Schizosaccharomyces pombe: one gene and its partner. The main gene of each other region encodes a partner of the protein of the gene in region 2 in a complex. Each region holds a gene or a part of one and is shown on either strand. Other genes may lie near its edges.

Region 1 (4,857 bases), 1.1 Mb from region 2:
AGTGGTCAACCCCCCCACATAGTACTTGAGGTAGTAGACGAAGTCATAATTGCTATTCAAGTGAGTAATGTCTTAAAGAGAATATGGACCCCCCATTAGTACTTTCTAACCCACTTGGAAATTGAAATTGCTTTGATTTTTAAGCATTATGAATTAATATAATATTAATGCGTATTAGCTTATATAAACGATTACTAAATTATATTCTCATAGTTTTTCATGCATCTACATAAACAGTCGGCAGGGACGTAAAAAGCTACTCTTTTAACTATGATTTTGTATTGTAGTACATTAAGAAGGGTAAGTAAGGTCTTTATATTGTAATCTCTACGCCCTGGTTGACAGCTGTTTTAATAAGCTAGAATTTTTCGCTAAATGAGTTTGCTTTAAACATTGAATTAATTAGAAAGGTTTGTATTGTTCATTATCTCAGCATTCCATTTCCTATCCTTACATGCACGTTCAATGTAAGTTGAAAAGATAGTATTCAATGAAAGATTCGCAATCCAATGAAAAGCCAATTTTAGTCTTGAATTATATTACAATGAAATTAAAAGGAGAAAACCTTTATCGTAGATATATACTAATGTCCAAAAACAAATTAAAAAACCAAAATGAAAATTAAGATATGAATTTTTAACGTCAGAGTACTTCCACCTGTAACAACAGCTCCTTTCTGCTATACCTATCTATTGAAGTTTATAATAATAATTAAGTTCATCCTTGCGTTTCTTAAATCGCATAATAAATTAAAGATTATTTCCCCTTTAATCTACCTATAATTGGTAAACATGGCATATAATTATTTAAAAAATTTAGTCATTCCGAGGTTGATTGTTAAGCATCAGTTCAAGTTGCGTTCTTTTAGCACCAAAAGTCTCAATGATACAAAAGAAAAAGCCCCATCTGCTCTCATTCCAGTAGGTTTACTGGTAAAACCGACGATGCTTTCTGAAGTCCAAAAGCCAACATTATGGGAAAAACTTACCAAACCCGCGAGTACATCTTCTCCTGAGCAAAGACAGAAGGAGCTGCTGAATGAAATGAAGAGATCAACTATTCAAGATTTCAACGAAGTTCGTCGATTTAATGGTAAGCTGTTTTACAGTCCTCCAAGATTATTTAAGGAGAAGGTATGAACAATTGGTTAAAAGTAATATTCATTTCTGGAAATTTCAAATAAGAATGAAAAAAAATTAGTTTATTGCTTAAAAATATTGACACGTTTTAGAGCGCCTTATGGATGTACAACTTTCATGGGAAGTCATTACGAAATCAGTACAAAGAGCTATATAAAGATTGGCAAGGCTCGCCCTTTTTCTTTGCATTATTTAGCAACGCGTTTGGAGAAAACCAATGTAGGAATTGGATTCAACATCTAGCTCCATTTGATTATCTGCCAGTTCGTTATGCAAATGTTCAATCCAATCTAATAAAATATTGGCTACAGAAGATATTTATAGGAAAAGTTAAAAGATCAATACCAGAAAAGTGCTGGGTAAGTAGACGCATTATTTGTCCAAGCTGCTCACAAGTTTGTTCGCTTGATAAGATAGATTTATTTACTTCCAAAATTTATAACCTTTTGCTAACTAGCAGAATGAATATATTACAGCATACGACAATAAGTTCAGTTTCCCAGAAATAGGATGGAACAACAAACTTGTTGGAAATGTGTATTTAATTGACGATTCCTGCAAAATTCGCTGGCTTGGAACCGGTGATCCAACTAATGTCGAAATTGAAAACCTGAAGACAGCGATTAAGTTTTTGGTAAATAAAAACGTTGGTTAAAAGTAAAAGGACTTTTATATTATTTCATCTTAATTAAACCTTTATGACATATTCATAACTTTGGCGGGATCAATGCCCTTCATAAACGTTTCATAAAACATGCAACTTAATGAAAAAAAAGGAACAAAAGCATCAAGACAGATATGAGTAAAGCTAAAATGATAGAATCACGTCTTCGACGGATCGAGGTTTTCCTTAATATTTGATTAATAAAAGGGATTGACATGGCCGCCCCGTTTATGCGATTGGTCACATTTCCTAAGACGCTATTTTGGTAATCAAAGTCTTCCCTCGTAGCATAAGCTCTTTCAAGAAGCTCATTAGTGCCTCTAATAGAATTGTCTAAAGAGTTTGCCTCTTGCATTTCTAAAAAGTTTTGTGCATCTCGTAATTCTTCAGGAGATAGAACTTCCTGTTTCGCATCATATTTTTTCAAAACGCCATTAAGAAGTTGCTCATCTCGTTTTAGTCTTTCAAAATGTGATTTGATAGTAGCCATTGAATGCGAGTCATTTTCGTCAGCTGAAGAGTTGGCTTCTTCAAGAAGCTTCCTTCTTTCCTCTAGCAGAATTTTAGCTTGGTTAGGATCACTGTGCAACGATCTTTGGAACTGAGACGCTTTTTTCACCGAATCTCTCAAAAGCATAGACTTCATGGCTAAAGAGATCTTCAAATTTTTATAAGAGAAAAATTAGTAGCTTAAGTTATGATTTTAAAACAAACGTTTCTCTTCTGTTGATTAATGTGGCTTTCAGATGACGTTCTTACTAGTATGTAGTTTAGAGAAGTATCCCACTACGTAGAGATTCCTAAATATACCAGTGATAGAAAAGCTATGCTACTAGAAAACATTGTGATATTAAGATAGGATATTTTTCATTCAAAATGAATTTTAAGCATTAAATTAACTACGCAACCAACATTGCATTGTTATGGTAAATATCAAAATTATTTTGAAACATGAAGCTCGTGTCTCAACCAACTTTCAGTCGGTGACTAAACTGATGATTTTTTGTTTCACAAAAGATTTTAAAACTTTTTTATTAGAGAGCCAACGTTTCCCATCATTCGTCTCAAGCACAAAATTTAGTATTTCATTTTCATCATTGAGTTTGGGCATTTCAATCTTAAATCTCACCTTACCATTAATTTGGACAGGAATAGTAACGGGCTCCTCCATATTCTCCTTTTTATTTTTGGAAATGGGCCAGTTAGAGTAAACGGAAGAATTATGTCCTAGCAGCAACCAACACTCACTTGAAAAACAAGGTATTATTGGAGCAATACATTTCACAAGCACTTCCAAAGATGCTTTAATTGTTCCGATATTGACTTTGTTATTTTTTAAAGCATCTGCTATATTATTAGTCAATTTCATGGCGTCAGAAATTACTAAATTGAGAGAAAATACATTTTCATAATGAGCAGAACATTGTGAAATAAATTCATTATATTGTGATTCGAGTTTCCTGCTATTGTGATCGTCGACAATAGTTAACTTCGTTTGTCTCATCGCATCAGACATTTTTTTCTCACGTTCCAATAACTGATGAACACAATTCCATATTTTGGTTAACCACCGTTTTGTTCCCATTATTGCATTTTCATTCCAAAGGAGTACGCCTTCCACTGGAGCTGAAAATATTATGTAAGCTCTAATAATGTCTGAGCCATATTTTTGAATAGTACGTATCGGATCTACACCGTTATGCTTGCTTTTGCTCATTTTCTGGTAAGAAAGTTGAACTTTCTCTTTAGGATTACTGATTAGAAAATATTCGTCTCCAATTTTCTGGACTTCTTTTGGATTAAGTATTCGTTCATCCGACATCGTTGTATAAGTAAGACCATGAACCATCCCCTGAGTAATTAGTTGAGTAAATGGTTCATTTAAATATTTATCACCATTCCATAACCCAATATCCTTCATGAATTTTGAAAAAAACCTGGAATATAGAAGATGAAGTATTGAATGCTCAACGCCACCAATATAAATATCAACAGGCATCAAAGAGGACGCACTTGCTAAACCTACAGGAAGCTCCGAGTTTTTAGAATCCAAAAAACGAAAATAATACCATGATGAGTCTACAAATGTGTCCATAGTATCAGTTTCTCTTGTTGCTGGGCCATGACATTTCGGACAGGTTGTTTTCATCCATGTTTCTAGATTTGATAACGGCGAAGTACCTTTTTCATATATTTTATCAAGATCAGGCAACTTTACAGGAAGTTCAGATTCAGGGACTGGGACAGCACCACAGGTTTCGCAGTGAACCATTGGTATAGGAGTACCCCAAAATCTTTGTCTTGATATAAGCCAATCTTTGAGTCTATAATTTTTAACACGTTTGGCTAATTTCTTCTCTTCAAGGTAACTGACAATCTTTTGCTGAAGCATTTTTTGCTTGATATCCATTAAATTCGAAGAATCATGATGATTCAAAAGTTCTTTTCCCTCATTTGTAAAATATGAACCTATACAACTTTCTTTAGAAAATATTATGTTATTACGCTTAGCAAACTCAAAATCTCGGCGGTCGTGAATAGGTGCGCCCATAACGGCGCCAGTACCATAACAGTCCAAAACGTAAGGAGCATAAAATATTGGTAAAGCTTTGCCAGTTACTGGATTTTTTGCAAAGCACGGGAGCTGATATCCTTTGTCTAGTAAGGATTCATTGCGAAGATGTTCTGCCAACGAAGGATCCTTTTGGGATTCTAGTAAAACAAGTTTATGGTTTTTTGAAAGAGCTATAAAACTAACATCTATTATTGTTTCAGGTTTAGTAGTGAAAACTGTAAGAGTTTCTTTATCGTTTAGCAAAGGAAAAGATATTTCAAAACCCGTAGTTCGACCAATCCAATTGCGCTGCATCTTCTTTACTTTGTCAGGCCATTTTGGTAATGTTTCAAGGTCATCGAGCAGCTGATCTGAATAGTCTGAAATTTTTAGAAACCATTGTCGAAGATTTTTCTTTTCTACTATGGCACCGCTCCTCCAGGACCTCCCATGTGAATCAACTTGCTCGTTGGCAAGGACTGTGCAATCAACTGGATCCC
Region 2 (4,198 bases):
TAACTTGGTAACATACGGTCTCCGTACTCAGACATTACTTCTTTGTAGGCGTCTTGTGCCATTCGCTTTTCAAAATCTAAAGAAACATCATTAAACCTTCGACGGTTACTTATAGGAACGTATTCCAAATGTGTAAAATAGTATACACCTCCTCCTGCAATAAGAGCACCAAAAATCCATTGAAACCTCTTGTCTCTAGGATTGGGCTGAAATGATTTATATACCACTCTGTTTCTATTGGACCAACTCAAGTTGTTGCTTTGAAATCTTGCCTGTAATAAACCATTGAAATTTCGATAACTACATTTCTTGTATGATAGAACTGGAGCGCAGCTCACAGCCCTGGTTCTGGAATAGTTTGATATATACTTATTTAAAAACATTAAATAATTCTTATAGGAATTACTAAATATTGGCGCTAGATATTTAAAAAGATGAGAATGGAGGATAGTTTGGTGTATTATGGTATACGAAAGGATAATCGCTAACGATATTAATTTTAACAAACGTGTCTCGAGTTTCTTTAGTAAAAGTTAACTTCATCCAATACAGTTATTACAATATATATGGTACAAAATTAATATATATGAATACAAATTTCAATTGGCTTTCGACAAATTCTTAAGTTGCATTGAAAACGGTTGACAATAAAAATAGTGTAAAACAGTCGTCAACTAACGGTTCGTGATGACAATTAGTTTTAGTCTATTTTATTATTTTTAATACATAGCTTAACTGAGCAAATTACGAAGAAACTAAGGAAAAAAAACTATTGCCCATTGGTAAGTTAATTTTCTCTTGGATATTAAAATAAAATGAAATGGAATCACAATTGAAGCATTTCAAAGCAACCGCCTGAAGAGAAGGTGTTTTAGTCAAGCATTACCGCAACGGTATTAATTGATTGACAAACTAAGGATTTAAAAAAACACAAAGAAAGAATTAGATTTAAAAGGCCCATAAGTGCGTGATTAGTGGAATGTCATAAACAGAAGGAAAAAAACACAACAGTAATAGCTTGCAAGGAGAAGCTAACAAGTGCAAAATGTATAGCTTATTTTTAAAAATAATTAATAAAAAATTTAACTCTCAAGAAGCTCTTCAAATTTTTTAATCATCTTTGATTTTGTTGTACTGCCCCATATCATATAAGAATAGTAAATTTAAACAAGCCAACGACATGAACATGTTAGCGTAACCACCTGTAAATCAAGTAAAAGAGGACAAATACAAGGAATGCTCCACAATAAAATATAATCTTGTCTTGTTTGGACCTACGGTTGATTAAAGATAGAGTATGGCGAGTAATGCCAAGGGTATTGGCGGCATTCAGTACTTTTGTCTTAGTAGCTTTTAAAACGCTTCCCTGCTCAACTAAATCACCAAGAATCATCCGCCCACGTTCTAGAAATTCGTCAACTTGAGATTCTGCACGACCAAGGAAATCATGCTCCTTTAATAAACCATCTTGTCTGCTTAGATCTGATGGCCCTTCCACAATTTCTGCATCCGTTGTTGAATTTCCGTAGGGACTATCAAGAGAGTTCACATACCCACGCCTCCCTAACAATTCTTTTCTATTTTTTGCTTGCGCAATGTCACGAACGTGTGCCTTCAACTCATCAAATTTTTCCAACAACTGAACATGCTTTTGACGGAACTCTTGGATTCGTATTGTAGCTTTTTTTTTTTTAGCGGGAACCAATTCCCTTTGGACCATACTATCGTAGTCATCAATGGATCTGGATAATGACAGAAATGAAGCTGAGATCTGGCCTAAATTGATTTGCATTAGTCTCATGAATAACTTGGTTAAAATAAGTACCATAATTATTCATCTACACATACCCTGAATTCCAGCTAACGATATAGTGTTGCTCTCATCTTGAACACCACGTTCTAACTCATCGAGGCTTCGCTGAATGGACTGAAACAACTTTGTACACTAGCGAAATACAAATTAATATGTTTTCTAAAACTTTAGGAAGTTACATACGTGATTATAAAGAGTATTGCTCATTCTCTTGCCGTAGTTGGTTCCAATATGAGGGTAATTTATTTTCTTGTCTTTGATATGACAACACATGTAGCAAGTAACACGTTACTTGAATGCTATATCAAAATTGTAAATAGCTTAAAGTAGCAATTTATTTCTATACATTGTAAATACAGTTTTATAAAAAAGAATGCGTTTTTTTACCCAAAATTCATATTAAATGTAAATCACTATTGAGTTCAATTGTATTTTGTTGAACCCCATTTGAAAAATCTAATAATTCCATTCGTAATAACGAAATGTATACAATATCAAAAAGCGAAATTTTATAGGGGTCGTGTCTGATGCCAGCATTCAATTCGTTATGAAAGACGACGACGCCTAGAAGAATGTCCCGATGAACGTGGACGAGCTCGGGGCTTTTTCCAATAATATTGTTTATGTACACGACGTGAGGATCTTACTGGTCTCATTAATGGAGCATATCTCATACGCCGTTCTAAATCATCATCCACATCTGGGTTATAAAACCATTCACTCCACAATGGATCACCATTAGCATCAGTTCCGTAACGTTTAACCTCTTCAAAGTAGGGGTGCTTGGCTGCCAAGTCTCGAAGCTTGTCCTGAATTAATTGAAGTGGCATATTGGAAGGAAATAAATGCGAAAGTGCAGGAAGGGGAGTAGTTGAAGTTGTTGAGAAAACCAATTCATCTAAAACCAATCCTAATAATAAGCTATCGGGAGCTGAATTTTCTTTTGTTGATTCTGAGTAATCATGGCTAGAAGGGAGGGATTCATTACTGTCATTAGTGTTCTCATCAACAGCAGAGATGCTTTCGTAGTCTTCAGGTTCCTTCTTTTCCACAACTGCTGAACTCAATTCAGGAGCCATTGGCTCAACTTCGTTCACTGGGGAATCATTTGAAGTTGTAATATTAGAATTCTTTGAGTCATCATTATGGTTTGTAAAATTAAGTTCAGAGATAACGTCCGTTAGTCCAGCGGACGATTCATCAATTTGTATAACGCTATCCCGTCTTACTGTTATAGGCTCTTTTGACTCTTCAATTGGAGTGTATTCTTCACCTTCACTAATTTCCTCATTTTTATCAAGATCATCACTCTCGATTTTTTCGTTCTCAAAAGAAACCTTAACTTCTCTTAAAACGATGTTATTATCATCAGTGCCATTGAGTAAATCGTCGGTGTTCTTTGGGAGAAAAGATGGTTTTAATTGTGTATTTTTGGAACAATCAGACTTTTCCACCTGACCATCTTTTTCTAAGGCAAGAAGCTTTTGTAACAAATCTTTGGATGGAGGAGGATATACTAATTCGTTACTACGCAAGTTTAGCTTAGGAATGGATTCGGAATTAGTGTACAATATGAGATGATTCTGATCGTTTTGATAGTCTTGAGAAGGAGGTGATGAAGGCATCAAAGGTAAAGCTTCTTGAGGTGAAGGAGACATAGGTTCACGATTTTCTTCATAATTTTTAGCATTAAGATTTCCTTCCCATTCATCTTCAGAATCACTTGGCCAACCAAGAAGAACTCGGTAACCGAATACATCCAGTACAGGACAAGCATCCGAATTCGGTCTTACCAGGACAATCCGATCATTTTTCTTCATGTGGAATACTGACTTCCTCATTTTATCAGACACAATCATCCCATTCCAACCCACGCACTCAATAATCATGCGGTCTTGTGTACAAGTTACAATAGCATGTACACGAGAAATTGCTTTATCAACCGTGGATAGGACATGGTCACATTGTTGACTAGAACGGCCAATTTTATTAACGCGATGTGAACGCATCCGTACAAAAGACATTGGAGAAAGTGGCTCTCTTCTCACTGCAGAAGCAGGCGAAGAGGGGGCATAGAATGTATTACTAGATGGCTCAGGCGTGAGGACGAATTGGCCTAAATTAATATTAGTAAAAGTTAGATTCAAGTCAATTGGTAAAGAGGCATGATTCTCTTTTGGTTTACACAGTTTTCTTAACTAATCACCGTGGAATCAACCTTACCCAATTGAGGCTTCTCAAAAGTCATTGATTGATTTGGATGTTTTGAGAGCCAACTTTTCTTGTGAGAAGCCATAGGCGATGAAGAGGGAATTGGAGAAGGCAGTAGCACATTTTGGCTAGAAATGTTCATACTGGCCAAAGGAGTATTCAAACAATTAAGGT

The links.
Region 1: bos1 (region 2) and gos1 share a complex: the UniProt entries of both Schizosaccharomyces pombe proteins name them as parts of the SNARE complex.

The regions. Positions count from the first base shown.
Region 1 is NC_003424.3:779,079-783,935, reverse strand, and holds gos1 (SNARE protein Gos1), read right to left. Parts: upstream 2,576-4,857; 5' UTR 2,450-2,575; coding exon 1,901-2,449; 3' UTR 1,795-1,900; coding exon of another isoform or gene 1,600-1,794; 3' UTR 1,499-1,599; coding exon of another isoform or gene 1,232-1,498; 3' UTR 1,134-1,231; coding exon of another isoform or gene 792-1,133; 3' UTR 517-791; downstream 1-516. Other genes in the region: atp10 (F1-F0 ATPase assembly protein), read left to right, coding at 792-1,133, 1,232-1,498, 1,600-1,794; SPOM_SPAC4G8.09 (leucine--tRNA (Leu) ligase), read right to left, coding at 2,780-4,857. UniProt on the Schizosaccharomyces pombe protein: Nonessential SNARE involved in retrograde transport within the Golgi complex.
Region 2 is NC_003424.3:1,922,924-1,927,121, reverse strand, and holds bos1 (SNARE protein Bos1), read right to left. Parts: upstream 2,042-4,198; 5' UTR 2,021-2,041; coding exon 1,997-2,020; intron 1,956-1,996; exon of another isoform or gene 1,946-1,955; coding exon 1,849-1,945; exon of another isoform or gene 1,777-1,848; coding exon 1,190-1,776; 3' UTR 583-1,189; downstream 1-582. Other genes in the region: metallopeptidase Oma1, read right to left, coding at 1-383; tos4 (transcription factor), read right to left, coding at 2,359-3,929, 4,037-4,166. UniProt on the Schizosaccharomyces pombe protein: SNARE required for targeting and fusion of ER-derived transport vesicles with the Golgi complex.